4 linked regions of the Xenopus tropicalis genome follow. The protein of the gene in region 4 purifies or fractionates together with the protein of the main gene of each other region. This does not show direct contact. Links are inferred from orthologs where the notes say so. Each region holds a gene or a part of one and is shown on either strand. Other genes may lie near its edges. The genes, in order: ccdc12, dhx8, ppie and crnkl1.

Region 1 (7,968 bases), on a different chromosome or scaffold from region 4:
ATTGGTTCTGGCTTGGCTGCTTCAAGCTGTTCCTTCACCTTCTCTTCCACTAGAGGGTGCAATGACACAGGGTTAGATTAGGAAAATGCATATTATAGACTTCAATGCTGTCACGCTATTATCTGTCTTAAAGGGATACTGCCATGAAATATGTATGTACCAACTTCCTTCTGGGGTCTCTAAATGCCAGGTACTTAGATAATCTGTTCAGTGGGCCCTTGGCTTTCATATTTAGGATGTTTTTTCTTGGTACCTAATGTTCTGTGGGAGATAATTGGAAGCTTTGGGGCGATTTTCAGGTATTTTTGGAAAGCATTGCGACTCCGGAGTTTGGAGTAGAAAGACATGGGTGCCCATTTTTGATTTGCCCGGGGGGGGGGGGGTCTAGAATTTTCAAACATTTTTGTAGAAACCGTTAAGTTTAAAAAAGCATTGCTGTTTGGTAAAAGACATTATTACCCATTTTGGTTTTGGTAGAATGGGTACTTTTAAAGATCAGAAATCTCTATAAAACGATACATATCAGGTATTGGCGTGTTTGGGAGACATGAGGCTTTCTGAATCAGTTGAAATTAAGTCCATAAAACAAAATATGTTTCTGGCATAAATCTCTGTATCATGAAAAATATCAGTTTTCTTTTTCTTTTGTATTTAGAGCTCTAAATCTTGTTCCAGGAGTGGAAATACACAAAAACTCAGGCAGATTTAAAGCTCCAGGTCTTCTGAAAAAAGAAAACAAAGACAACAAGGTTTTCCTAGGTAAACTCAACCCCCCCCCCCAGGAAATGCCCCTAAAGTGAGAGAAATTGTGCAGGTGTTTAAAGAGTTAAATATAAAAACATCTGTACTTTCTAAAAACAGATTACAATGCAGGATTCTGCTGGAGAAGCTCTATTAACTGATGGGTTGTTTTTTTTTTTAAACATGGCTTCCCATGACAGTATTCCCTACACAGGTAATGATCCGGACCCAAGGGCAGATAGGGCTGCACTCACAACTTGCCAATTCACTGCTAAATGACAATAACAATAAAGTACCTTCTGGCCCATCATCCATAATATGATACATGTATAGCCCCCAGTGGGATATATATGATTTAGTGGAAAGATAACCCACCTGAGATTGGCTTGGCCTGTGGTACCTGCCGCTCCTTCAGATCATCATCCTGGGGGGTGTAATTCCTCAGCTTCAGCTCCCTAAGGAACAACAGGGATAAGGATTTCATATTCCAGTGCCTGGGGGTTATCAGTGTCCCATCTATACAACCAATCCCTAGGCCCAATCATTGGGGCATACTGTAATATGACTGCCGAGGGGCTCATTCATGGGCTCAGCTGCTTGGGGGGGAACACATCAAACACAGCAAAGTAAACAACAACGCCCTGCGGTGCCCAATGCATATTAAAGGGAACGACAAACTGCTAGAGAAGCCAATTAGTACAGTATATTATATATATTCTGTTACAGTACAGTGAGTAGTGCATCACATTCCTGGTTATACACAGATACCACTGATTGTTCTCTGATCATGGAAATTATACACGCTGCACTATCATGTGACATCCACCCCACGTTAAGTCAATTACGCTTTGTTTGTACTAACGAGCAAGCAATTGCCCCCTTAGCAGGGGAGCTGAATGAGGAGTCAGTGAAACATTCCCATGGGGCCGTGCAAAATCAATTACTGACAGTATTTATCCAAAACCGGATACAGAGCCGGTTTGGTAAGTGCAATCTAACACCATGGCAGGCAAGAGACTTATGGGTAATGGCACTCACAGAGATAGTAAGTTTTTTATTTAACGTGGCCTAACCACATGGCTTCAAGGCACCCATAATCACCCTCCATTGGTTCCTATGGGAATCAGCAATCACTGTGGGCATACAGGCTTTATTCAAAGTTACATTAAAACCTCTCCATAACCCCTACACGTTTCATGCCCTGGGGCACTTAGTCAGGGGCTATGGAAATCACCTGGAAAAACAAGCGGCGGCAGTTAGTGGTTAGAGAGGGAGAAATGTACTTACCTGTGTGGTTCTTCCTCCTCTCCCACGCGCATCTTATTCTCAGGCTCCCCTTCATCTTTCTGCTGCAAATGGAATGGAGACAATGTTACAGCCCCATAGACTGACTTACTGGCTAAAGGGGAGCTGGTTGTATATGAACTGTAAGGGAGCATCACTGGGTGCTACATGGGATCCACTGTGTAATGATCCATACGTGGCAGTAGCTCAGTGGGTGATGGGTTCACTCCATACAAACACTCATACCAAATCTCTGATCAGTCACATATAAAAGGAAACTGCTTAGCATTACTTCTCCCACCGGTCGCACATACACCTGGCCACTAGATGGCACTGTTCCACAGATACCTACCACTGGTATTTAACTCATTGATGTAACTGAACCCTATATACAAGCACCATTAGGACATAAATATGATGGTATGATGTATGACAGGAACTACCCCTACCCTGGGGTACTTGAGTCCATTTTCCATTCAGAACTTGGGCCCAGAGTTCTGAGCAGCTCAGGAGCAGAAAGTACAGAGAACTTAGATCTCTAAGAATCAATAAGGGGGACTGGGTCCCCCAGTGGCTAATGTCCTTGGGGTGAAGCCTGTATGTATTTTAACCCCTTCAGTCCTGCAGGACCTCACACAATAACTAATAACTGACCCCACTGGGTTATAAGGAGCCGTTACATCTGCAAACGAGCCGCACGTTGTATTCCCAAGAACTGGTTTGTGTTGCACCATGACACAAGCGGGCAGCAGAGTAACGTGACACCCGGCTGATCACTATCTGATGCCCTTGTACAATGCCACAAGCTGCTTCCGTGGGACACGGGGATTGTGGGACATGAGAATCAGGCACAAAACAGGCAACACAAGGGCTCTGGGAGGATAAATAGAGCCCCCCCCCCCTGTGCCACGTGTAGCAACACAAAGCCTCATTCAGTAATAACCCGGGGCAGCTTTACCCTCTGCGTGCCAGCCAGCTGTATTATTTATATATTATTTCTGTAACACTCATAAACGTGCAAATGTTTCCAAAATAAACAGCATTCCTGCGGGGGTGGGGGGGGGGGGAAATGCTTTTATGGAAACAAATATTTTCGCTGCTGACTTCCCATTCTTGCTCTGCAGTTCCTATTTGACAATACAGAAGTAGAATAAGTGGGAGGTCATGGCTCATTTAGTTGCTATGGGCTAAAGAATCTGGTGGAAACTGCCCCCCCCCCCTTTCCCACAAATGCCCCCCCCCCCCATACATGCACTGGAAAGGCAGAGCTGCTCTGCACTGGTTGGTAGCCACCCTGTCCCCTGTCTGGCCACTTGATTTCCTCTCCCTCACTCCCTGGCCACAAGAACGAGGGCTGGGAGCCGGTCTGTTCCCTGCTCTAAATACACATGCTCCGGGGGGTTGCCATTTACTGTGACAGGAAGCCAAGTGGCCAAACATGGCAGCCAGCAAGTTACTTTCCAGTTCAGGTATAGGGGAGCAGGGCAGTTGTGGGAATAATGGTGTGCAGTCATAGGGTTACATTTGGGGATATTTTGATTCAAGGGCAACTAAAACTAAAAGTATAACGATGTCATTTACTGCCCTTTCAATTTATTGGGTAACAAATAGTGACTTGTGCAAATCTTAAATACCCATAATCCCTGTGAAAATGGCGCCAAAATGTCCCACAATGCCTGTGAAAATGGCGCCAAAATGTCCCACGCCTGTGAAAATGACCCAAAACGAGCATACATGTTCAGATCCGCTCATTTGGGCAATATCAGGCTCATTTGGGCAATATCAGGCTCATTTGGTCCCGAGGGCCAAACAACTGAATTACAACAACAGGAATAGGAGCCCATGGAACAAGGATCACATCAACGAGCCAATGTGCTCCCCTAATCAGACCTGCCCAATCAACACCTGGCTGGTTTTCGGGCAGATATTGATCGGGGGGACGTGGGGGGGGGGAGTTGACAGATAAGCTGCCATAAATGTCTACAGGACTCAAACTGGCAGCTTATATCTGCCCATGTATAGCCACCGTAACAATGTAATACAGCAGGGACAGCACCCCCTGTAGGAGGGCATTAGTCAGGGCACAAAGATAGCTGCTTCTGTATAGTGAGGGCAATACAGACTTTTCATTGAGACAATGAGTCTCCTATCAAAGCTGCCCAGCTCTCTGGCCTACATCTCCCATCATCCTCTAAGGGTGAAGACACACAGAGCTATTAGTAGCAGCTACTTGTCGCGGCTACTAAAATAGACAATGCTGATCATTTACTGATAATTGTCTCTGTGTGTTTTAGAAGAGGCAATTCTCAGTATTGTCTATGGCAGTGATCCCCAACCAGTGGCTCAGGGGCAACATGTTGCTCCCCAACCCCTTGGATGTTGCTCTCAGTGCCCCCAAACCAGGGAGTTATTTTTGAATTCCTGACTTGGGGGCAAGTTTTGGTTGAATAAAAACAAGATTTCCTACCAAATAAAGCCCCTGTAAGCTGATAGGGTGCATAGAGGCTGCCTAATAGGCAATCACAGCCCTTATTTGGCTCCTCCATGAACTTTTATGGTGCTTGTGTTGCTCCCCAAGTCTTTTTACATTTGACTGTGGCTCCCGAGTAAGAAAGGTTGGGGAAAAAGTAGCTGCTACTAAGTAGCCCAGTGTGTGTTCCCCCTAACAGTCTAAGCCCCGTTGTGTCTGTCTCACAGCTATAAAGCTACAATAAGAATGTTGATAGATAAAAGGTTCCGGTGCCAGGGCCCTGCCAGCACTGGGAAAGCCAGTAACAGCCCATCCAGTAGCGGAAGTTCCCGGACCCCTAATGCGGGGGAGTGAGTCCCATACACAGAGCAGCCCTACCCATGCAGAATGGCACAGCCGGAGGGCTACACGCTGTACATCCCTGAGGAACAGAATAATGTACATCCGAGTCCCACAGAGAGAAGGGAACGCAGCTTCACTGGCCGGCCGGCCTTACCCCTCCCCATACCTATACACCAGTACACACCAGTATATCCCAGCTCCCTCAATATAACTCGCCCTCCATACCCGTTTGTTCCGTAGCTCTTTCAGCCGCTCTTTCCTTCGCAAAGCTTCCACTTCCAACCTCCCCACGCTTCCCTCCATCTTCCCACAATGCTCTGCGGCCTGTCCTAGCAACAGCCAATCAGGAAGCGCTAGCCGGCCAGTAGGAACGCGAAACGTCACCAGTCGCCAGCCCACGCTAATCGACAGCCGAAGGATCTCCGCATCAATCTTCTAAGGACGGAGCGGTATAGCGAGGGGGAAGCAATGGAACGCAGAGCGCATCGATAATTTCCCGTCAGGTTATAGGATGCGATGATGATGGTTATTATTAACACGTATTTCTGATATCTAATAGAAATCTGATTGTACGGAAGCACTAGCAGTCTAATGAATGTGTCAGCAGCAAGAATGAAAGTACACTTTGCCCCCTCAGCATTTACCTCCTTTTTATTCCCACACCTTGTGTCTCAACCCTTTCTCTTTTAGATTGTAAGCTCTATTGGGCAGGGCTCTTGTATCGGTTATTGGTTGCTTCATATGTTACTCTGTATGTCCAATGTATGTAACTAACTTTATATTAATCATGCTGTGTAGAAAGTGGAATAAAACATTACCAGTGAGGTTGCTCATAGCAGCCAATCAGATGCTTTGCTTTGGTTTTCTAACTGTTGTAATCTAATTGCTGATTGGATGCCATGGGCAACATCACCTGTAATGCTTCACTCCACTTTTTACACAGTATGATCATACCTCCCAACATTTGAAAAACAAAGAGCAGCAAATTTTTGGCCACGCCCACTTTTGTGACCACGCCCCAATTAACACACCCCATTGATTTCTAAAAATACTTGTTTTATATAGTTGAAATGGTGGGATCAGATGCAAATGTGCTATTCCCTCATACTGTACTACCTAAGGAAGCCCACAGAACCCCCCCATACACAGTACCCTTTATATAAAGTACCCTTTATACACAGAGCCCCCCCATATACAGTACCCCCCATACACAGTACCCTTTATATACAGTACCCTTTATACACAGAGCCCCCCCATATACAGTACCCCCATACACAGTACCCTTTATATACAATACCCTTTATACACAGAGCCCCCCCATACACAGTGCCCTTCATACAGAGCCCCCCCATACACAGTACCCTTTATACACAGTGCCCCCCCATACACAGAGGCCCCCCAAACACAGAGGCCCCCCCATACACAGAGCCCCCCATACACAGTGCCCCCCCAAACACAGTGCCCCCCCATACACAGAGGCCCCCCAAACACAGAGGCCCCCTAAACACAGAGGCCCCCTAAACACAGAGCCCCCCATACACAGAGCCCCCCATACACAGAGGCCCACCATACACAGAGGCCCCCCATACACAGAGGCCCCCCAAACACAGAGGACCCCCATACACAGAGGCCCACCATACACAGAGTCCCCCCATACACAGAGGCCCCCCAAACACAGAGGCCCCCCATACACAGAGGCCCCCCATACACAGTGCCCCCCCAAATACAGTGCCCCCCCAAACACAGTGCCCACCATACACAGAGCCCCCTATACACAGAGGCCCCCCAAACACAGAGGCCCCCCCCAAACACAGAGGCCCCCATACACAGAGCCCCCATATGCGCTCCGACTCCTTGCGCTGCTTCTCTCCTGTGGCTCCTTCGGCGGCGCTCCCTGGCCCTTTTATAAGGTTGCGCCCCGTGTGTACGTGTGACGTCATTACGCACGGGCGCAACCTTATAAAAGGGCCAGGGAGCGCCGCCGAAGGAGCCACAGGAGAGAAGCAGCGCAAGGAGTCGGAGCGCTCATCCCGCTGTCACGGATCCTTCTATGAATGTCCCGCATTTTCGTAATCTATTACGAAAATGCGGGACATTCAGGGAACTATCCGGGACAGCGGAACGAGCTATAGAAAGCGGGACTGTTCTGCTTAAAGCGTGACAGTTGGGGGGTATGGTATGATAAATATGCCATACAGCGCTGCAGAATATGTTGGTGCTTTATAAATAAATGTTAATAATAATTCATGATTCTGTTCCCTTGTGCCAAATATCTAAAATTCAGGGTTTTTGGTCTGTTAATGTTTTAGTATAAGAGAGCCATTGATGTCAATGGAGAAATTATCACTAATCCCTGATCAAAGCCTTGGGGCAGGTATTTAGTGCTGATCAGCCCCCCCCCCACACCTACATATACATGTGAGGAATTTACTAGCGGCGCCTTTATAGCACCCAATTTGCACTCTGTTTAGTCTTTCTTAACAGGAGGGGGTGAGACAAAAGGGGAGGCAGGTGTAACAGCTGGAAAGTAGAATTGCTCAAGTTGTGCCTATGGCAGAGGTAGGTGGCTGTGTTATGGCAGCAGCTGGGGGGGGGGGGGGAGATATCCATGTCAGTAAAACACTTGCACACTTGCTGCATTAAACATATACATTCTTTCCCCCAGAGAAGCCAGGACCCACCCTCACCTTATCTCAGGTGTGCCAAGGAGCCGTGTCCCCGGGCCGTACCCCATTCATGTTAGTGTTTGCGTCACCAATACAGCCTTACGCACCCCTGTGTGACTCACCCCCACCCCTGACATTATACCTCACACCTTTTCCTATTACAGAAGCTGATGGGTGGGGGTAGCGTATAACCCTTCCCTTGCCATAGCTAGTTACTCACTGCCCCTGCATTACAGTATATATATATATATACAGTGCACACAAACATCCCTTATAATCCAATGTAAATAAAAAGCCACACCTGCAGGTGCAAGAATTTGCGAAATAAAAAACATACACAGTATAATACACACCTTAATAAGCATAACCAGACGCCTGAATTGCTTAAATAAAACTTTAAAGACAGAGTTAAATTACAGACTGCTCGTTAACTTCATCAGTGCAATTATAACAATCGGGTTTACC
Region 2 (7,428 bases), on a different chromosome or scaffold from region 4:
TATCAGTCAGGAGAAGGGTGCAAGAGAGTTTCCAAGGCATTAGATATACCATGAAACACAGTGAAGACAGTCATCATCAAGTGGAGAAATATGGCACAACACTGACATTACCAAGAACTGGACGTCCCTCCAAAATTGATGAAAAGACGAGAAGAAAACTGGTCAGGGAGGCTACCAAGAGGCCTAAAGCAACATTAAAGGAGCTGCAGGAATATCTGGCAAGTACTGGCTGTGTGGTACATGTGACAACAATCTCCCGTATTCTTCTTATGTCTGGGCTATGGGGTAGAGTGGCAAGGGGAAAGCCCTATCTTACGAAGAAAAACATCCAAGCCAGGCTACATTTTGCAAAAACACATCTGAAGTCTCCCAAAAGCATGTGGGAAAAGGTTTTATGGTCTGATAAAACCAAGGTTGAACTTTTTGGCCATAATTCCAAAAAATATGTTTGGCGCAAAAACAATACTGCAAATCACCAAAAGAACACCATACCCACAGTGAAGCGTGGTGGTGGTGGCAGCATCATGCGCTGGGGCTGTTTTTCTTCAGCTGGAACTGGGGCCTTAGTTAAGATAGAGGGAATTATGAACAGTTCCAAATGCCAGTCAATATTGGCACAAAACCTTTAGGCTTCTGCTAGATAGCTGAACATGAGGAGGAACTTCATCTTTCAGCATGACAACGACCCAAAGCATACATCCAAATCAACAACAGAATGGCTTCACCGGAAAAAGATTAAAGTTTTGGAATGGCCCAGCCAGAGCCCAGACCTAAATCCGATTAAAAACCTGTGGGGTGATCTGAAGAGGGCTGTGCACAGGAGATGCCCTCTGACAGATTTGGAGTGTTTCTGCAAAGAAGAGTGGGCAAATCTTGCAAAGTCAACTCATACCCAAAAAGACTGAGTGCTGTAATAAAATAAAAGGTGCTTCAACAAAGTATTAGTTTAAGACTGTGCACAATTATGCAACCACATTATTTTAGTTTTTTTGGTTTTCTTCCCTCCGCCTAAAAGATTTCATTTTGTTTTTCAATTGAGTGGTACAGTTTATAGGTCACATTAAAGGTGGAAAAAGTTGGAAAAAGGTGGAAAACACTATCACTGTCCCAGTGGGTCAGGACGTCATCATGATGACGTCCTGACTCTCTGGGACAGTGATAGTGTTTTGGGCGGCAATAACTCCTTTTTACAGCAGCGATCGGTTAATATATCTCCTCTTTAAAGCAGCGGTCGGTTAGTATATCGCTCTCCAGCAGCGATCGATTGATATCTTCTCTGCCTATACCCATGGTAAGCCCTGTCCGTTTTGTTAGAAGCTGTCTTACTTCACTTTCTGCTATTGCAACACTGTATCCAACTCCTGACTCGCTACTTTGACTGCGAGTATATGTTACACTTATTTGTTTCGCTTTTGTCTGTCTGCCTATCCTTTTAATCTCCCACTAGTAATCAACTATACATTTCAGTACTTTTATTTGATCTTTCACTTGTGATTTTTATTTTTCATGTTGTTCATTTTCATATGCTACTTGTGTATAGGGGTTACCGTGGTTACGGCCGTTTTTGTGCCATTTTGTGTAGTAGGGTATTTAAGGGGTGTGTATGCACTTTGTCTTTTGGTTTGTCCCTGAGGAAGAGCACAGTTGGTGCTCGAAACGTCGGATCTTTTTCAATAAATTCTTTTTTGTGTCCCTATGTGTGCGGTACTCTGTTTATTGCATTTTTTTGACCAGCACCTAGGGCATTCGATTGCCTGAAGGGTGTGCTCCTTTTGTTTCTATATAATAATATATATATATATATATATATATATATATATATATATATATATATATATCTGGCCACTCCTGAACTAAGGCATTCACTTAGCATAGTGAAATGCTTGACACCTCTGACTGGGAACATACTCTGTATAGTTTTTTGCAACAGTTTTTTTGCAACATGTATCCATTTGCTTACTAGCTACATAATTTTAAACTTAACCTTGTTTTCTAGCACTGCACTCCCATTCCATTTGCCTGTATATGTTGACATTTGAATTTATCCTGCTCTGGTGGGTGTGGGGCTTGTGCACGCTGGTTGCCATGGTTACTGTGGCCGTTTTTTGGCGCCATTTTATGTGGTGTGGGTAATTACTGTGGGTGTTGGGATATGGTCTGTTGGCCTGTCCCCTCAAAACGCTGGAATTTTTTCAATAAAAACACTTTTTCTTTTGTATCAAGTCCCTGTGTGTTATATATATATATATATATATATATATATATATATATATATATATATATATATATATATATATATATATATATATATATATATATATACACACACACATACACATACATACACATACATGTATATATACACATACATATACAAACTAGATTTACCTTAAGCCTTCCAGCTGGACAAAGCAGCCAAACTGCATGATACTTGTCACTTTGCCATTATATATGTCCCCAATTGCTGGCTCTTCAGGTGGCGGTCTATCAACATGCTTCTCTTTCCAAGAAGGGGCATATTTATCAGAATGGTGTTCGTTGTTACGGTGCTCCTTAATGGGGCTTCTGCTTCGTGATCTATATCTGTCTTTTGTTTTTTTGCTGCTTTGGGACCTAGAGCGAGATTTACGTTTGTGTTTGCTGCCTTTCTCCCGGCTTCGACTGCGGCTCCTCTTTTTTTTATCTCTAAGGAGAAAATAATTAAGTAAATTCTAAATATCTATCAAGAAAATGCATTCTATTATTTTAAAAGATACATATATTTTTAAATATTTTGTCATTATTTTGATACTAATTTACTATTGGGGTTTTTACACTAACCATACTCCCTTTCAAAAAGGGCAATTTATTTAAAGCTTGTTATCTAGCAGTCTTTGAGCACCAAAGAACCACTAAATACTCTTTCCCTGCCAAATATAGCAATTGCTGCTAGTAAAACATCTGAATCGCTTTATTGCACAACATTGCGTTCCTATGCTCATATACCCCAGTGAGAGGGCTCTGTGTGTAACTGTATCATGTTTTGTTATAAATGAGGAAAAATACAAGGCAATAATACACTTTTCCCCATATGTCATAAAAGGCACTAAGTTTGCACAGGAGCAATAACCCAAAGCAACCAATGAAATATCAGCTTTTAAACAGGTGGCCAGTAAATTCTAGCTGCCGATTATTTGCCCTGGGTTCCAGTTCTTGGGCACATTTTGTGCCTTTTGTTACATAACCCTTTAATTGTAGTGAAACTAGCCCAGTATTTCAGATTACTGTAATTAAAGGAGGAGCTAAGCATAACATGAATTTCTAACATTTTAGGAAACCCTGAGCAACTTATCAGCTAACCCAGGCATGAAAGACATTCGTTCATAGTTTGCAATGACATACTTGTGTTTGCTACTTCTCTCATCCTTGGGCATTAGAGCTTCAAGTTCTTGCAGTGCATCTGCAGCCACTTTTACATCATCAGGATCTAGCATGGTCTGTATGGTTATAAACAAAATATCTTAAAATTAGAAAAATGGTGAAACATAACAATTTGTTACTAACATCTCCAAGGCTGGGCCCCTAACATACTAGCTACTATGGATCGCCATGCCTTAAGCCTACAAAAAGATATTTAAAAACATTATAAAACAAGAGTGCTTGCCAACAGTATGGATCTATGTAGCTTTTACCCCACTTCCCACAAGTTACATCAGCCTAAACGTGGCCATACACAGGCCGATAAAAGCTGTCTGAGTTTGCAGCGTATCGACACATATACAGGGCCCCCAGGTGGCCCTGCCCAACCAATATCTGCACAAAAATCGCCCAGACGTTGATCTGACAGGTTAAAAGCAAGTTGAGGCAAGGAGCGCAACGGCTCGTTAATGCAGTCCTCACCCCCTTTAGGCGCACCTATTCTATTTTTTCAGCTATTGATCAAATTAGCTTTTTTAATTTATTAATTTCCTTATTACTAATAAAAAACAATTTGTGAAAATTCCATAATCCCCAATAATGTGTTTGTTAGGCTTTTTCTTTAATGTTATTTATAGGGCTTGCACTCACCCGGACACTTGGATTATCTGCCCTGCAAAGTGCGGGAAATAACTCTTTCAGCTTTTCTTTTTCATTCTTTGGCTTGATCACTGTTTCTATTGATGAACAGACATAATAGATTAGTATCATATTCAATCAAGACCAAAACACACTGTAACCCTAATAACCCCAAAGAGAATCAAATAAGACATACATAAGGTAAAATTCAAGGGTTCAACATAGTAAATGTTATACAGATATTACAATTTAATCATTAAGCCTTGTGGACTGACCTTTGCTTGTAGAGGGTTTTGCTGGAGGTCTCATTGTCTGAATCAGACGCAACAAATTGTTTATAAGGGAGTCCTGTAGAAGGTGATAAATTTTAACCAGAATCAATATCATGATTCTAATTTTAACAGCAATAAACTGTTAAAGCAAAAGGGTGAATATCAGGGCTAATTTTCACCAGATATCTTATCCAAATTAGAATACAAAAACAAAATGTATTTATGTACTACAAAGTCCTTTAATCATTTTTCAAAACCATATACACCAAGAATTTAACTGCTTTACAAAATCTATTAATACAATCTGTATTTCATCAGTGACATTGAAAGATCAAAATCATTTTCATATTTAGCTGATGTACATTAAGGGGCATTTTTTTTTTTATATTTTTTTTTTAACAAATTTTCATGACAAGCATAATTTTTGTAAATTATATACAAACATTAGCATATATATTTTAGCAGAATAGTAGTTACATTTTTCTTTAATTACATCAAATAGAAGGATGTTCAAAGTGTCAGACCTCATTTGTGGTAATAAAATCAGTAAGATACTTGTAAATAAAGTAAACAAGGAAGCACTTGTATAGCTTGATTAAATGAAACTTAATTAAAGGAGATGTGTGGGTAACGTATCGCCATATCTATACCTTATCCAGGGTTCCCATACTATTTGGAATTTTTTAAGTCTGTCTATAGTGACTCTTGTTATTAGCATTATATTATGAAATTTATCATTGGGGATTTCCAAGACTTTGCTATCTTTTGTCTAGCCGCTAGAAATATATGATTTAAGAGTTTTTGTTTGTTTTTAGGGACCTTAGTGGAAGGTAGTCCCATGAGGGCTTCATATGGGTTCTTACGCAGGTTCAAATGCAACACAGAGAAAATCATATTGTAAACTCTCACCCAAAATCTGATTGCTTTTGGACAGTGCCACCATATATGGCCCATGGTTCCAGGAGATGAACAACCTCTAAAGCAGGGATCCCCAACCTTTTATGCCTGTGAGCCACATTTAAATGAAAAAAGTGTTGGGGAGCAACACAAGCATGAAAAATAATAGGAGCTACCGGCATGTGGGGGGAGATCAGCGCATAAGTAGTAGCATTGTGGTCCCAAAGAAATAATGTGTGTGAAAAAAGAGCTTCTGCCGAATAATGATATGCTAGATGATTTTCTAAATCAATCCATAATGGTGGAGCTGATTGAATATGAAGTTATTTGGGCTAATTGTGAAGCTAAAAAATATTTTTTGAGGTTAGGAAGTCCCAATCCCCCTTCCAGCGGCCTTCTTTGTAGTGTTGCTTTATTCACTGGGCCGTGAATTTAAATGGTTACACACTTTTTAGGAGGGACAGAGAGATTAAAAAGGGTGGAGGGGTTTGTCTTTATGTAAAGTCAGATTTAAAGCCATGTAATAAAGACATTACCAATGAAAACGTATCTCTTTGGGTAGAAATTTCAGTACAGCTGAAGGTCACAAAGAAAATGATCATTGGTGTATGCTATAAACCCCCCCCGTATAGATGAGGGGGATTAGACCAAGTTATTGTTGCAAATGGAGGAGGCTTCACAACTGGGTCAAGTTGTTATTACGGGGGACTTTAATTATCCGGTCATTGACTGGAGTAATGGGGTGGCCAAGTCAGAAAAAGCTAGTAGGTTTGTAAATGTGCTAAATTACAACTTTTTATTTCAGGCGGTTCAAGAACCTACTAGGAATGACTATTTTGGACCTGGTAATATCTAATAATACTGAACTCATCTCTAACATTTGTGTGGGTGAGCATTTGGGGAACAGTGATCACAACATGGTCTCCTTTGAGATAATGCTGCAGAGACAGCTCTATAAGGGAGTAACTAAAACGCTCAATTTTAGACATGCAGACTTTGCCAGTATAAGGGCATTTCTGCAATGTGTCAACTGGGAAAGGCTTTTCATAGGGTTAGACACAGAAGGAAAATGGAACATCTTTAAAACATTGCTTTGCAAGTATACACAACAGTAACAGTATAAAACAAAACCTTTATGGCTGAATAAAAGTGTTAGTGTCGAGGTTGATAAGAAAAATAACGGATTTATACTTACGTAAATTCCTTTTCCCTCAGTCCTGAAGGCAGCACTTACTAGAGAGATGACATCCACCTGGTAGGAAAACACCACACCCCCCAATTAATTACTCCACCCCCTCATCTCCTATAAGTTCCTCTGTTCCCCTCTAGCCCTCAGTGATCTTCTCAAGCAATAAGACACATACACAATGCTGATAGAATATTTACTGTAAGGGAGGGATATTGTGCTGCCTTCGGGACTGAGGGAAAAGGAATTTACGTAAGTATAAATCCGTTATTTCCCTCACGTCCCTTGGCAGCACTTACTAGAGAGAGTTGAGTAGCAGTACGTCAAGGGGGGGTATTTTTACAAATTGAATAAAGCACCGTATTTGCGAACGCCACTTCCCCAGGGGTACCTACGTTCAGTCGGTAGTGCTCTGCAAATGTTCTGAAACTTGCCCACGAAGCTGTTCTACATATCTGGTCCACTGACACGCCTCCAACTTCTGCCTGTGAGGCTGACACTGCTCTGGTAGAATGTGCCTTGAGGTTTGGAGGTACTGGCTTCCCTGAAGCAGAATAGGCTAAGGATATTGCCTGTTTTATCCATCTGGAAATGAAAGATTTTGAGGCACGTTTCCCTTTGTTCTTCCCCCAAAAGGAAATGAAAAGGTTATGAGATACACGAAAAGGTTTTACCTTGTTTAAATAGAACAAAACACATCTTCTGGCATCCAGTAAGTGTAGCTTTCCCTCCACTTTATTTCTTGGTTCTGCAAAAAAAACTGGAAGAATGACTTCAAAGTTTCTATGAAAATTAGATGAGACTTTAGGTCTAAACAAGGGATCTGCTTTGAGGATGATCCTGTCTGGAAAAACCTGTAGACACGAATCTTTACATGATAAAGCTTGCAGTTCTCCTATGCGTCTGGCTGAACAAATTGCCACTAAAAATACTGTTTTAATGGAAAGATGATACAGGGAAGCTTCTTCCAAGGGTTCAAAGGGAACATTTTGTAAGGCTCTTAACACAATGTCTAAGTCCCAATTTGAAGTTAGGTTA
Region 3 (7,871 bases), on a different chromosome or scaffold from region 4:
GCACACTAGCAGCCACAGGGTTAAAATTACAGTCAAACCTACCCCCCTGCTGGCAGCCCACTAGTTAATTAGCACCTACACAGAATCTGCCCTCTACCCAATACACATACACACACCAAATAGTTAATACACCTAGGCCTGAGAAGTCATACGAGGTACGTGGGAATTGATATAAAGCCAAAGGACTAAACTTATTAAATTTTATATTTAATATTACCAGGGTAAACAGTGCAGTTTTAAAAAGATGTTACAAAAGAGAAACATACATGCAAAACAGTCAATAAAATAAACGGGGATAAAAACACAGAGAAATCCTAAGTACGTTACCAAATATCCTGTGCCCTCTGAGGCAAGAGGTTGAAAGTCCTGAGCCCATCCCCCAACATAAGTTGCGGCCTCCAGAATGAACTAAAGAATATCTGGGCATGCGTGCTTTTATTCCCCGCTGGGCCCCTCCCTCATTACCTTATGCATGAGGAGGGAGTGCCCAGGAACTGGTCACATGACCCCTTTGGGTGGTCCCCACCCACCCTCTTTAGAGAGCTGTACTTCTCATGCCAGTTTCTTGTCATATAATATTGGCACTTACCAGTACTCAATATTATTATGAAAGTAGGGAATTGTTTTAACCCATATGTGGGCGATCGAAATGATACCAAACATGAGGGGGATCTCATGTCCCAGTCCCCCAGAACCCATTTCTCCTAACTGGCGGGTATAGGCCGCCCCTGTTTGGTACCATTGGGAAGCCTGGGGCCTCCTCATAAATCCTATGTGATTTATGATGATGTGGACCTTAAAGCAGCGGAGATATGGATCCATTTCTATAATCCATATTTTCTGTATGCTGTCCCCCCCTGCTGTTCCTAGGCCCACACTTTGCCTCTCTTTGATAAACAGATCAAAGACCCCAGCTTCCTGCCCCAACGGGCTGATCCCGCATTGTCTGATGAAGTTGTTTATGTTGTCACCTTCCACAGTCCTGGTTGTGTCTTTAAGGGATATTTGTGAATTACCCCCTACTGGGAAGGGTTTCCCTCAAATGTGGATTTCAACCAGACTGAAATTGAAAATTTAAAATCTATGGAGCCTTACTGCTCCAACATGACAATGACCATTTGGCCCTTGGGTCAAATGATCGCATTGCAATGAAGGGGATAGGAAAAGTGAGAGTGATATGACTAAAAATCAAGCATGTCCAACTGAAATCTGGCCAATCTTAGGCCAGAAATTGGTCGGAGAGGCCTGTCAGAGGGCCCTATACACAGGCAGATAAGCTGCTGAGTCCGTCTTAAGGACCCAAATCAGCAGCTTAAATCTGCCCTTGTACGGGCACCTTTAAAGAAGTTTTCTATTCAGGCAGCAGCGATCTTAAGGCTGCTGTGCCGCCCCCCCTCTGCGTTTACCTCTTCAGCATTGGAGCAGGTCCTGGGGGGGCAGCATCACTATATCAAATGGAGGTCACTGACCCCCCCAATCGAATATCACTCTCTGCACTAGATGAGCTCAATCTCCATTTTTAGAAATGCAGCTCAAAGTTACCTGAGGTGGCTTTTTGCCACCCCTGGTACATGCCCACTCACTGCTGCCTACAGCAAGGTTCTCACATTGCCTCCTGGCAGGAGCAGCCCTGTATTCAGGTGCCCAGGCAGCATGGTGGCTCAGTGGGTAGCAGTGCTGCCTTCTGCTGAGTCCTGAGTATACTCCCACATAAAAAACATAAACATACCAGCATGTAATTACTTTAGGATTAAATTGTCTCTACAATATGTGATAGGGACCTTAAACTGTTCTGGGCCAGTGACTGATAAAGTGAATGATGATGAAGTGAATGATGCAGACTCTCTGTAAAGCGCTGCGGAGTTCTGTTCACCAGGGGTGACGCCTCCCAGATAAATTCATCATAGCATTATTCTCTAAGGCCAGAAGATGTAGCTCTCCGCCTTACAGATGCAGAATGCCAGGTCTCCAAACGTCTCCCATTTTCGGGACTTTAGAAATGGCCATCAAAGGACAATATATAATATTATTATTTTTTTATGTAACCAACGCCATCTGCTGCCTGCTGTAACCAACAAAATGTCTGCAACCGACGAATGGCGACAAGTATTTGAGTACATCAGGTAACAAAAGCAGAGTTTAGATTTCCCGTTACCTGTATACCACGGATTAGTAATGCCCACTAGAATTCAATCCGTTTAACCCGCATTGTCAATAGAGTTCCGTGGTTTAGTCTACATCGTATTTACGCTTTCCTAGAGGAGGAAGGCTGACGTTGTGACGTAAGGGTCATAGGGTAAAGGTTAGCGTCAGCAATATGGCGGCTACTAAGAGAGTTTTGTACGTGGGTTAGTACTTTTTTACATTTGCATTTTCTTCTTTTAGAGGTACGGGGTTAGTAGTGCAAAATAAATGGAGCGCAATCTTTAGCATTTTGCTGCTATTTGTAGCAATACCTAGAGAAGCCATGAGAGACAGCCATGTTCACGTGGATAGTGGGGCTGCAACCCCCATCTGTTAATCCGGGCACCGAGCTGCACGATATTTTCCTGACTACGGGGGCTTGTTAGTGCGAGAAGTGTCTTTAAAATGTTTTGTTTAACTTTTCCTGCTGTAATTTCTGTTCTAAAACTTGTTCATTCATGTGATTAACAGGCGGGCTTGCAGAGGAGGTGGATGAAAAAATCCTGCATGCAGCTTTTATTCCTTTTGGCGATATTACTGATATTCAGATACCTCTAGACTATGAAACAGGTAAGTATGGAACTTAATGCACCACTATGCTCATTTTAAGATCATGGGGATTTATATACACATATCTAATTTACACCAGTTTCTTTTTCTGCCTGTCTCGCAACTGGGTTTGTGTGTGAGTGACATTTCTCATTCGAGGGTGAACTTTTGTAATTAAAATTACAACTTTTCTGTGTGAAAATATCTAGTGGCACATACTACTAGCGAAGTATAGCTTTCATGAAAAAGCTGTGTTAAATGATGTATTTTTATAGAGACTGGCTATTTTTAGAGGTATTGCAGCTATGACAAGTTTAGCTATGATGCTATATTAAATATGCATAAATCCACTAAGGTAGTATATTACAAACTGGCCTTATGGGCGTGACATGTATAGTGCACCTGTTGAAATATTTTGGTCACAGGCACTGTTTAAGGAAGATATGTAACATGACTGTAAATCCCTCAGTCTTGTAGGCAAAAATTATTTATATTGTTTCACTCTAAGCTAAAGTTTATAATTATCTTTAAAACAACCCCTTTATTGGATCTCCCCATAGCTCCACTAAAGTCCCTGTCCATGTTTCAAATGAGGGGTTGGTGTGTCCTAATGGTCCCTGCCACAAGCACAGTAGGAGCGGGACAGCAAATCACAGCCCTGCAGTCACACAGGCAAAGATAGGCTTCAGTTCCCTATCAGCTCAGCCTAGCTGCTGATTGGTTCCTAAGCTACAATGCAGTGTGCAGGGTAGCTGGCAGCAGTCAGCACGACCTGGCAAAGGAGGCAGCAGCAAGGAACAAATGGGCAGAACCAGCACAGTTTTTGGAGAAATTTTCAATAAAAGTTCATTAAAAAACTTTTAAAGCACATTTCTTCTATATCTAGAGGAGTATAATGCACTGGCACATTCTTGTTTCTTACACAACATATCCCCTTTAAGCTACCCATTACAAGCACATTTCAAAATACATATTGTAACTGAATGCAAGAGTAATTCTAGCTTCACAATTCTTACATTCTTAAAACAATTTACCAGTTCAGCGATAAGCCTTCTGTATAATGAGCTGCCCCTTATCTCAAAGCCTAACAAAGACTGCAGCTGGGGAAAGGAGGTAGGTGTTTGTATAGAGGGCATCTCATTGTACTGGTAATTTGAGTTTATCAACTCGTAAGAACCAGGAAGTTGATATCAGTCTTAATTTCACTTTCAGGCTTTGCCATGTATGGTTAAGAAATAACACGAACCACAAATATTTGTAGAGCTATGAGATCTGTTATCCAGAAACCTGTTATCCTGAAACGGGAAGGCCATCTCCTATAGACTCCCATTTTAATGAAATAATTAAAAATTATTGGGTTTATTAAATGTTTAAATGATTTTAGTGTACTTAAAGTATGGTTATCCAAGTTATTGAAAGATCCATTATCCCATACCCATGAATTATGGGTGGATGCTGTGGGTTATTTTATCTGTCCATATTTTCTCTGATATTAAATGTTCATCATTCTAGTATGATTTCTGTGTTCCTGCTTCTCCTGAGAAAGAATTATGTTTACAACATTTTGTATGGGTATTAATGGTTGGTGGTCTTATTTTCTTATAGAAAAACACAGAGGATTTGCATTTGTGGAGTTTGAGCTTCCAGAGGTCAGTTATCAAAATAACTTATACAAGGTGGATTCTTTATCCTCTATTTCTTCCCTTAGGGTGCATGAGGGAGATGGGGTTCTGGCAATTCATTCTGGGGATCAATTCAGAATTTTTGCCTGATTTGCAGCTATTATTGCACATGCCAGTAATTAGTGCCTCACACACGGACAATCAGGTTTTACAAGGAAATAAAATATATAAGTATTGGGTTTATGTAAAAACGTTCATAAATGTTATCTGAATTGTCACGAATGTATATTATATATACATAGAAACAATTTTTATCAGTTGGCCTCGCTTAGGATAGCTGTAGCTATGTTCAGCCCAAAGTGTCAGGTATGCCAAACTAATTTCTCCCAGATGAACATTGAATTCCAACAATGTCAGCGCCCAATATATATTATTTATTTCAATTGAATGTATCTTTGTTTAATGTTGCATTTTTTCCATTTTCCAGGATGCAGCTGCTGCAATTGATAACATGGTAAGAGTTGGTTATGTAGTTTATTCACTTAATTTGTGCTTAGGCCTTTTATACTGTCTTACTTGTAGAAATGCTAGCAAGTCCCAAAGCATCAATTCTGTAATTTAATACTTAATATACATATCAATTTATGTTAACCATCACTTGCTTTAGAAGTTTGTCTAATGCATTTTATATAAATAAGCTGGAGAAGCAAAGGTAAGTACTAAGTAAGATTTACCAAAGTTCTATGTAAATACAGCCATAAGCACTACCAAAAAATCTACACTGGGTCTTCTATCAAAAGAAACACAGGATTTCTTGTCTCCTTTTTTGTGAACATGTTCTTGGGTATCTGACTTCCTCTCTCAGAAAAATCCTTCATTCCTGGGCCAGAGTCTGCTCTCTCCTCTCTTCTTTGTTCATAAGAATGCATTAAACTACCCCCACCCTTTAGGAATGTGTAATCTGAGCTACAACAGCTAGCGCTGCAAGTAGGAAGCTACTTAAAATGGCAGCTGCTATCTTAAACAAACAGAGAAAGCTTCTAGGGATCTTTACTCAGGTATGGTAAGAATAAATATGGTGTTCTAGGTGGCACTAATGTGGCAAATGTATTGGCAGTTAAATGCCAAAATGAATTTCCTTTATCTATAAAGCTAAATTTGCACAGCAAAAAAATGTAAATATGTACATAAGACTTTGTTAAATTGCTAGAGTTAAATAGCACTGGTCAAGTTACACACAGCAAACAATTAGCAATTCATTTTGACCAGCCTGTTTCAAATTAAAAAGTAAAGATAGTATTAGTTGCTCTGGGTAACTGCCGTGTAACAAATTAGCAGATGTATTAGTAAATCAAACCCATAGTATCCTATAATAGTTATTTTTTAGACCTTTTGGCCCAACATGCAAGCTGCGTAGAAATACATTACCTTGAGTAATTTGGATCAACATACTTTAAAGCAATACTGACACGTTCCTATAAAAATCCATAAGATCATGTAAATATTACTAAAGAGTTGAAGCACCAAAGTATTTCTGGACAAAAGTCCTTTCAAAGTCGCCCCCTGCCCATTGATACTTACCTTAGCCAACACTCCAACATGGCTTATTATTACGGAGAAACAGGAAAATGTTTTTTAAAAACTTAAAATCAAGGGAGATGGCCTTCCTGTACTTCAGATCTTTCTGGATAATGGGCTTCAGGATAAGGATCCAAACAGTTTGAAGGCCAGCACGTACCCTCAATTTCATCCTAATTTCAGGTTGCATCTGCTATCCACTTATTTGGGTTCCTCCGTCAAGGTATCCCCCAAAATTTGATTACCTTTGGGCTTTATAGTGATACAGGAGGGGCCAAATTTGATGTATGGCACTCAGCACACCTATACAATAAAATGTATTTTTGTACAAAAAAAGACTATTACTACATCAAATCCAGATGTTGGACAAATAGGTTTTTATAAATGTACTTAAAGCATATTCACCTACTTAAATGTTGCTGGTATTTGCAAGAAATTAGTAAATAGGCAGTGTTGACAGAGGTAAAAACCCTAAATGGGTCTTAGTATCATAAAAGCTTGCAGAATTTACTTTTTTTGTACCTTTTGAATTTCTTAATTTAAAATTCAACATTTTTGAATTTGCAGAATGAATCAGAACTGTTTGGTAGAACAATTCGTGTCAACCTGGCAAAGCCTATGCGATTAAAAGAAGGGTCATCCAAGGCTGGTAGGTTGGTTATTAGGAAGGTGCAAGATGCAGTGAAAACCTGTGAAATTTCATGCTATGTATGTAATTTTACTGTCTTCATTGTAGTATGGTCTGATGATGACTGGCTGAAGAAATTCTCTGGAAAAACACTGGAAGAGAATGAAGAAGGCGAAGGGGTGGAAGCCCCAAAACCTGTAACACAAGAGGTATATGGATTTTGTGCAAATGAGGTGAAAGGCAAATAGTCAAAACATCTGTAAAAAAAAAAAAAAAAAAAAAAAAAAAGTGGGAACATTTTATAATTGCAGCCTCTCTGGTACTTCAAATGCACATAAATGCAAAAGGGCATTTTTTCACATTCAGTTGTGTTGTGGCTGTTTTGTAACAGGGAGAACCGCCTCCTAAAAAAGTTCGAGCAAATCCACAAGTCTACATGGACATCAAAATTGGGAACAAGCCTGCTGGACGAATTCGATTCCTGCTGAGAGCCGATATTGTTCCAATGACAGTAGGTGTGTGTTTCCAAACGTTTGGGTTGCTTTGGCTCTTAGTTATTATTTCTTATGCATATAAGAACTGATTTACAAGAATATAGGTGGTAAAGTGAGCTTGCCAGTAGCAACCAATTTGTTTTGAACTGTGTATTACAAGTTAGAAAATAAAAGCAAAGATTGGTTGCTATTAGCTACTACAGTTGTGCAGTTTATCATCTATGTTTGTAAATCAGCCTCATAGTTTTATGTTAATTGTAAGCTGTGTGGATAAGCTCAACAATAGATCCTTCTTTGTGCCCTGCTAGCTTTTCTATCTCTTATGTCCTAAGATTGGGTGTGACGGAAATTTCTTACACAGTATTATTTACTTTTTAATCTTCTATCCTATGTAGTGTTGTTCTCACTGCTGCTTGTAGCAACAGTCCAAATGCATGCTATCCATCAAGTGTCAATTGCTGTTGGTATCAATAGGAGGTGAATCCCCTTGGGCACTGTAAAAGAATAATATCAGTCACTTTTATAAGACTGAATTGCCTGGTAATAATAGTGATCAGCAAATACACCCTTGTTTAGTGTGATTTCAGTGAATAAAATTTGGGCTGAACATACTATATGGCTACTCACAAAAAAAGGCTTCTTGGGATAAACAGGGACATTGAAGCTACTCAGTGTTTGGTACGTAATAAGATTACCAAATGCACAGATAATCCCCCTGCATAGAGGTTTATCTGTGCTCTGGTCTACCTTGCTTCACCTTGCGGTCAATAGTGCAACCTAATATATGTAGGATCCCCCAGCTTTCTGTGAATTTGG
Region 4 (7,428 bases):
ATCAAGTTTCTCTACATAAAAATGTGTTTACTCTTCCAATTTGTTTTAATTCTAAAAACTGCCACATTCCCAACAAACGGGTGAAATAGAATGTAATTTAGGTCCAAGGAGACCAGCCTGGGATGATGATGTGCTGTTTGTCATCTGGTGATAGAAGATGCAGATGACATCTGTAACTGTGTTAAAGTTCCAACAGGATTACATCCTATTCAGCATGTTTATTGTTCTCTACACAGTTTGAAAGAGTCCGTGTCATCTATAAATATGCTTTGGACAGAATATCAAAGCAACAGGCCCAAGAGTTATTCAAGAATTACACTATTTTTGAGAAGAAATATGGTGACCGGAGAGGTATTGAAGATATTATAGTCAACAAACGGAGGTTCCAGTATGAAGAAGAAGTAAAGGTAAGGGAGCAATATTTTATGCAACACAGAAAACACAACTAGGAGTAAGCTTGCAAAGACTAAAGCTATTTAGTTGACCAGGGTCAAGTAGGCTATACACGTACTTATAGTACTTAAACCAATTTAGGGTGGTTCTAGGCATTTGAACTGTTTTTAGTCTGTTTACTGCTAGATAATGTTGTTAGGAACTCTATTCTAGCAACGGAGCAATGTGTGTATAGTTTTAAGTAGATTTAACCGATTGCCTGCCATAGATCAAATAATCTTAAGTGCCAGCAGTCAAGAAGCTGACCTCAAACACTACAGATTTTTCTTTTCTTGATGTGTGTGACTGGCAACATGCCGCAGGTTAATTGCTTTTGAAAGTGACCGACCGACTTGCCCCTCTATCATTACTTTTATGGTGATAGTAAATCAGTACCCAAACACTGCTCTGCCCATAAGTTTAATGTGAAAGATCAGTTTAGCACACATGGCCCACAGTAAATAGAAATACTGACTGGCACCACAAAACTGTTTTGTTTTTTTTTGTTTTTTTAACATGTTTCTTATGGCATAACCTGAACAGTAGTCCTTGGGTAGTTTCCATTTCTTTGCATATTACAGTATATAAATTATTTTGAGCTTGCATAGTTTTTCTAGTCTGCACTGCACTATTTTTTGTATAGGATAGAAACAGAATAGGAAGTAACAAACACTTGTGCTGTCCGAATGTTTGTGACACAATGAAATGAGCTTTAAATATGTTCGTAATGAATAACACAGCTGCAGTTGGTCACATCTCATGCCAGAAGAGCAATTCAGCAATAGGTAACAAAATGGCACAAGATGGAGAAATCACTTGATAAATATACAAATGTCTTTCTCCCCAGGCAAATCCTCATAATTACGATGCTTGGTTTGATTATCTGCGGCTGGTTGAAAGTGATGCTGATCCTGACACAGTTCGAGAAGTTTATGAACGGGCTATTGCCAATGTCCCACCTACAAAGGAGAAGAGACACTGGAAGAGATACATTTATCTGTGGATAAACTATGCCTTGTATGAGGAGCTAGAAGCAAAGGTGAAAAAAATTGTAATCCACAAGAAACTCTTGTAACTGTGTAATAACCTAGCATCCTGCGCGCACCAGACATTCTTTGTCTGCATATTTACATTGAATTACACTGCACATTTTTGCCCGCTAGATGGCAGTTGTGTGTCAGACATCTCTTAATGCAGAAAACAGTCTGAAAAACATAGATCATATACACTTTATAAAGTGTGATTATTATGACTGGATCTGTTGCATTTCCTTTTATAAAAGCAGCGTGTTATAGGAAAAAAAGGAATAACCCTAAACCAAACCAAATTTTTTTTCACTTAGCTAATGGACAGATTTTAATGGTTTTTTTACATACTTTGAATTTCAGGACCCAGAGAGAACAAGGCAAGTCTACCAGGCCTGCTTAGAACTAATCCCTCACAAAAAAGTAAGAGTCTTTGTAATTGTTTGTTTTCCATGAGCCTTATGTCATTTTACGAACTAAATTCTAGTCCTAAATTTGAGGATTTGCCTGTAGCTAGGCAGAACAGCCCACTCTTCAGCCGCTGTGCACAACACCAGGTAGGGGTGAATGCTGATCTGCCTCACGTGATAGTAATGATCTCTGCACAGGAGTGAGAGATTTTGTTGTTTTAATTATGTCTTCAGCCATCTTGAATTTTAACTTAAAATATTAGGGCTCTTACTGCTACTTGTTAATCTAGTTTTATTTTACAGTTCACATTTGCAAAAATCTGGCTGATGTACTCACAGTTTGAAGTCAGACAAAAAAATCTTCCATTTGCAAGAAGAGCTTTGGTGAGTACCATCAAATACAGGGAGCACTATTTTCTATCCTAAGACTCGCGGTGATATTAAAATGTTTGAAAAATCTATTTTTATCTACCCCAATATTTGTCTGTATCCCTGTTGCTTAACCTTGGGTTCCCAGATGTTGCAAAACTACAACTTCTAGTATGCCTTGACTCTATGTGGACGAATACTGGAAGTCGTAATCCTGCAACTTATGGGAACCAAATGTAAAAAAACAGTTTGTTCAGATAGTTAATCGTGTCATGGAGTTTCTGTAAAAATCTATAGCAAGATGGGTAATTACAAGTAAATTAATGATTTACATCACAGTATTGTAGTTTTGTTTCCCATTAGTGATTGTTGCTTGCCACAGATCAAAGAACTCTTACAACTCTTTTTGAGTGTAAAAACTTTTCAGAAATTTGTAGAGGTTTCCAGCCTTATCCGGGGGGAGTTTATTTGAATATTTTATTATATTGATGAACCAATGCTGGTAAATGGGCCTAGTGCAGTTCCAAAAATAATTGTTTTTCCTGTTACTAAGTTGAATATATGTAGATAAGTAATGCCTTAATCACACAGGGCACATCCATTGGGAAATCTCCAAAGAACAAACTGTTTAAAGGTTACATTGAACTGGAGCTGCAGCTAAGAGAATTTGACCGTTGCCGAAAGCTTTATGAAAAGTTTCTGGAATTTGCCCCCGAGAACTGCACAACATGGATAAAATTTTCAGAGCTGGAGACTATTTTGGGTGACGCTGAACGAGCTCGTGCAATATATGAACTGGCTATTGGACAGCCACGACTTGACATGCCTGAGGTATGAAACTATGCCTGTGCTTTTACAGGACTCTCAATTTTTTACTTGTTTTTACACTAGATTGGTGTAAATGTATCAAGCTGCCCTAACAAAAAAAAAAGTCTGCCAGTAGGGTTTGTTCCTATTTTTTACCTATACTGCCCCCTATTACCATACAGGTAGGAGACCTGGCATCTTGTGTTTTCCATGTTAACTAAAGGATATTTAAACATTAAGTAAATACAATATTAGTTTGGAACAAGTACATAGTACTGTTTTATTGTTAGACAAAAAGGAAAACATCCTAAAAGACTCCATTTTAATCAAGTAATGGAAATATATGGGAGATTGCTCTTCTGTAATTTGGAGCTTTCTGGATAATGGATTTCAGACGATACCATACCCTGAAAAAAAAAAACACCCAGCAGAGTAGCACAGCGGTGTTGGTCTGGCCAGTTGACACCCTTTATCCGGCTTGGTAATGGTTGTAGAGTGACTGTGTTGCTTTGACTGAGTGTTATTACCGAGGGTTGCAATAGTAAATGTTCCTCTAACAAAGCATAACTACTGATTCTTTAGCGAACGGTTTCATTCTGTAGTGCTGAAGGTCGCCATGGTATTTGACTACTATTTATATGACTGTCTCAGACTTCCCCTTATAGCTGCCTGCTCTGTGTGATATTTGCAGGTGCTCTGGAAATCCTACATTGATTTTGAAATCGAACAAGAAGAATTTGAAAAGACTAGAACCCTTTACAGGAGGCTTCTCCAACGAACACAGCACGTTAAGGTATTTCACTTAAGATTCAATTTTCTAGCATATTAAGCACATAAACATTGAGGTCTCTGCATGCCACAGACTTTGGTAATTGGGCATCAAACTATTTAAGAATACCCCTGTCCTTCATATTAAGGATGATGCTATTATGTGTGAGAGAGAAGATAAGGTACAAGGTTTGAGGCAGTTTTTTTTTTTTTCATTAAAAAAAAAATCAACTTGTAGTTTGGAGTAGAAAGACGTATTTTGCTAAATTCAGTAAATGTGTAATGTGTTAATTTTCGGCGTGGGGGCAAGAAATCTTCACAAAACAGATTTATTATTGGCACAGTAAGGAGACTTGTAGCTTTCCAAATCAGTTTTATTTATATGCATATTATTAAATATAATTTCCCTGTTTATAAAGAAATATCTACTTTTTATAATTAAGTATTGAGCCGTATATAATAAATATACTGTCCTTAATTTGCATTAGATTACTGGCTCTCCAGTCACCATAACCACAAAATGTGCTCAGGCAATAATGCATGGCGCAGGTTTCACTCTGGGCCCCTTTATTGGACTTTATATGGTCCCTGACAGATCCACAGTAGAAGGGGGTAGCCAATCACAGCCCTGCAGTCACACAGTGGTGAGATCAGGATCAGGTCACCCTAGCTAATGACTGGTTCCTATCCTACAGTGCAGTGTGCCGAGTGCCACCGGCTCCCCTGCACAGCCTGGGAAAGGAGGCAGCAGGGAGTGGAACAGACTAGTAGGGTTTTTGGAGAAATTTTTAATCCGCCCGAAACACATTCCTTCTATATTTAAAAGCATATATGCACTGGCATATTCTTGTTTTTTTTTTTTACACTGCTCTTTTAAATGTAAATTAAGAATATATAGTCTTCAGTTATCTAAAAGTGTCTGAGCAAAAGTAGCTTTCCCATGAGCTCATTCCAGCAGGTGATGCTATATTTACCTGGTTTATGTACAGTGTTACCGTTTTTTATATTTATAATTTACCCTCCTTAGGTCTGGATTAGCTTTGCACAATTTGAATTAACTAGCAGCAATGAGGACACATTGGGAAAATGCAGACAGATCTATGAAGAAGCCAATAAGAGTCTAAGAAATTGTGAGGAGAAAGAGGAGAGGCTGATGCTGCTTGAATCTTGGAGAAACTTTGAGGAGGAATTTGGGACAGAATCCACAAAAGAAAGAGTAGCCAAACTTATGCCAGAGAAGGTCAAGAAGAGGAGAAAACTGCAAGGAGAAGATGGGGTAAGAGCTTCCCTGCCTAGCATGCTACCCTTAAACCCAAGTGTATAAATGGGTTTCCTATTAATACCTTTGTTTTGTATTTATCTAATTGCAAACTCACTTATTAATCAATAACATTTTATTTTTTCTACCAGTCTGATGCAGGATGGGAGGAATACTACGATTATATCTTTCCAGAAGATGCCGCCAATCAGCCTAATCTTAAACTGCTTGCAATGGCCAAACTTTGGAAGAAACAGCAGAAAGAGGAAGAGCAGACTGATGAACCGGATCCAGATAAAGACATTGATGAGAGCAGTTCCTGACACTGATTTTTCCAGTGTCCTTGCTTTGTTTGTACATAGTGCCACTTACCAGTGACTCTCACAAGGCTGCTTTTTTTTAAAAAATAATAAATAAAACCTGTCTGAATATAATTACATTTAAAAGGATTTAATCTTCATTGTTCTATAACAGTGGGAATCACTGCCTGTAAAGAAATGAGTAGGACACATGGGTAATATATCTGATAACTCTCAATTACATAGGCTGGGGAGGGCAAAAAATGAAAGCACATGTAAATGTGATACTGTAATTATTGTCTATTCCAGGAAAAATCCTCACACTGAGTTGCCTTTACCCTTATGGTTTAAATGACTAGTAACGCTAGTAAATGCCCTTAAACAGTACCAAATAATTTTTATTTAGGCGGTCAGACAGTATTTGCTTTGCAAGCTAATATCTCTGACCCTTAGTTTTTACTGCCACAATTCCTATTAATAGTCAGAAACTGGAACACAGATCTATAACAATCATTCAATATAAACTCAAACAGCAGCACATTTTATTCTGCCTACATTTGCCCCATCAGCCATTTACAGCGTCATTACCTTGTTAGCACCTGAAAACTGCAGGACATCACAGAGAATGCAGTGCAGCCATCCATGGAAGTTACACATCACAGGAATCATTTACACTGGATTCTTAGGCAAAGGTACATAATTACATCTATCAATTGTTCTTAGTGCAGCAGGAACATACACATTTCATAATCACCAAATAAAAAGGCTCTCTGAAATTCTTACTATTGCATTTTAGCAAATAAAGTAATGTTATGTACATTTTTCTGTATACTGCGCTGACAATAACCTGAATGAGAATGCTGCCACTCTCCAAGCCATATGGAAATGTCACACTAACACTACCCTAATGGGCATAAATCTACATGACTTGTGATGTTGCTCATGGCAACCAATCAGCAATTAGATTTGACCTGTCACCTTGAAGTTAGAAAACAAAAGCAAAGATCTGATTGGTTGCTATGGGCAACATCACCAGTGACATTGCCTTACACACAATAATAAAAATGCCCCTAAAAGTTAGGGACAGGCTGTAAATGGCTGTAAAAATGGCAATTTCAGACAGGAAATAAAAAGGAATATACAGGAAAATTCTACATAGAATACAATCCTAGATACATGTCGGTATTACTTTAAAAGATGAAGCTTATAAAATGCATGGCCCTCCAGTCCTAGGACACAACTCAGCAGCAAGCTGTAAATGGTCTGTAAAAATATGGATTACAGTCGGTGACATGCACTGCCAGCTCTGGTCACATTTATATTTGTGTCTGCCAGCAATATGCCTTGGAAAAGTAACTGGCCAGGTATAACTTTCCTGAATAAGAACCGACTTTACAGTGTAAGAGGCAGTAGATTAAATAGGTGTGTTTTATAAATAAACAGAAAAGTAATTATGCGTCTCTAACCATTTACTGAACTTAACTTCTCCGCTAGGAACTGTGCATATGGCCTAGCAAGCCTCAGACTGGTGTTGCTGCTTTATAGAATATGTAGATGAAATTGTCTTTTTATGACTCTGCCTAAGAACCACAGCTAAGGTTATTCAATGTCTTCTGGTCTCACAGGATGCGGTAAAGGTACAATAGATTTCTTCTCAGTGTCTCTCGACAGAGCTTTCCTCATGTCTAGGGAAACAGAAGAAATGGGTTATATCCTTATTTATTTATACATCACAAAAATATTAGGGACAGAAGACAGTAACATATTTATGTAACTTGCAGGAACAGGAGTATCTGCTGGATAACCATTTCAAATACATGTCCAGTGGACAAACATATTCCAATGTGGACTATTCTATGCATGATTTGAACCAATCCTCTACTGCCCACATCCCACAAAAAAATAAACAACACAGGCAGTTTTTAGATACTGTATTAACATTTGCATTCAATTTGATGCCTATGGAGTAATCCTTTAAAGAACATGTACACCCCACACACAAACAAATAATCAATGAACAGCCTCTTTGAAATCTTTTAATACCTGCCACACTGGTTTTC

Evidence for each region.
Region 1: the proteins of crnkl1 (region 4) and ccdc12 purify together in Homo sapiens (co-immunoprecipitation; 3 studies listed by BioGRID and IntAct, with this or other methods). This does not show direct contact. The link is inferred for Xenopus tropicalis from reciprocal best matches to the Homo sapiens genes CRNKL1 and CCDC12.
Region 2: the proteins of crnkl1 (region 4) and dhx8 purify together in Homo sapiens (affinity purification with mass spectrometry; 3 studies listed by BioGRID and IntAct, counting the BioPlex papers as one, with this or other methods). This does not show direct contact. The link is inferred for Xenopus tropicalis from reciprocal best matches to the Homo sapiens genes CRNKL1 and DHX8.
Region 3: the proteins of crnkl1 (region 4) and ppie purify together in Homo sapiens (affinity purification with mass spectrometry; 3 studies listed by BioGRID and IntAct, counting the BioPlex papers as one, with this or other methods). This does not show direct contact. The link is inferred for Xenopus tropicalis from reciprocal best matches to the Homo sapiens genes CRNKL1 and PPIE.

The regions. Positions count from the first base shown.
Region 1 is NC_030682.2:12,606,332-12,614,299, forward strand, and holds the start of ccdc12 (coiled-coil domain-containing protein 12), read right to left. Parts: upstream 5,142-7,968; 5' UTR 5,141-5,141; coding exon 5,063-5,140; intron 2,091-5,062; coding exon 2,029-2,090; intron 1,197-2,028; coding exon 1,117-1,196; intron 50-1,116; coding exon 1-49.
Region 2 is NC_030686.2:20,713,667-20,721,094, forward strand, and holds part of dhx8 (ATP-dependent RNA helicase DHX8), read right to left. Parts: exon of another isoform or gene 7,065-7,428; intron 6,976-7,064; exon of another isoform or gene 6,786-6,975; intron 4,384-6,785; coding exon 4,311-4,383; intron 4,134-4,310; coding exon 4,048-4,133; intron 3,477-4,047; coding exon 3,382-3,476; intron 2,686-3,381; coding exon 2,389-2,685; intron 1-2,388.
Region 3 is NC_030678.2:91,049,969-91,057,839, forward strand, and holds the start of ppie (peptidyl-prolyl cis-trans isomerase E), read left to right. Parts: upstream 1-2,450; 5' UTR 2,451-2,480; coding exon 2,481-2,565; intron 2,566-2,655; coding exon 2,656-2,754; intron 2,755-4,338; coding exon 4,339-4,382; intron 4,383-4,842; coding exon 4,843-4,869; intron 4,870-6,500; coding exon 6,501-6,582; intron 6,583-6,669; coding exon 6,670-6,770; intron 6,771-6,952; coding exon 6,953-7,076; intron 7,077-7,871. UniProt on the Homo sapiens protein: Involved in pre-mRNA splicing as component of the spliceosome. Combines RNA-binding and PPIase activities.
Region 4 is NC_030681.2:36,932,016-36,939,443, forward strand, and holds the end of crnkl1 (crooked neck-like protein 1), read left to right. Parts: intron 1-236; coding exon 237-407; intron 408-1,279; coding exon 1,280-1,471; intron 1,472-1,820; coding exon 1,821-1,880; intron 1,881-2,170; coding exon 2,171-2,251; intron 2,252-2,827; coding exon 2,828-3,067; intron 3,068-3,734; coding exon 3,735-3,836; intron 3,837-4,838; coding exon 4,839-5,087; intron 5,088-5,221; coding exon 5,222-5,392; 3' UTR 5,393-5,503; downstream 5,504-7,428. Other genes in the region: naa20 (N-alpha-acetyltransferase 20), read right to left, coding at 6,968-7,053. UniProt on the Homo sapiens protein: Involved in pre-mRNA splicing process. As a component of the minor spliceosome, involved in the splicing of U12-type introns in pre-mRNAs.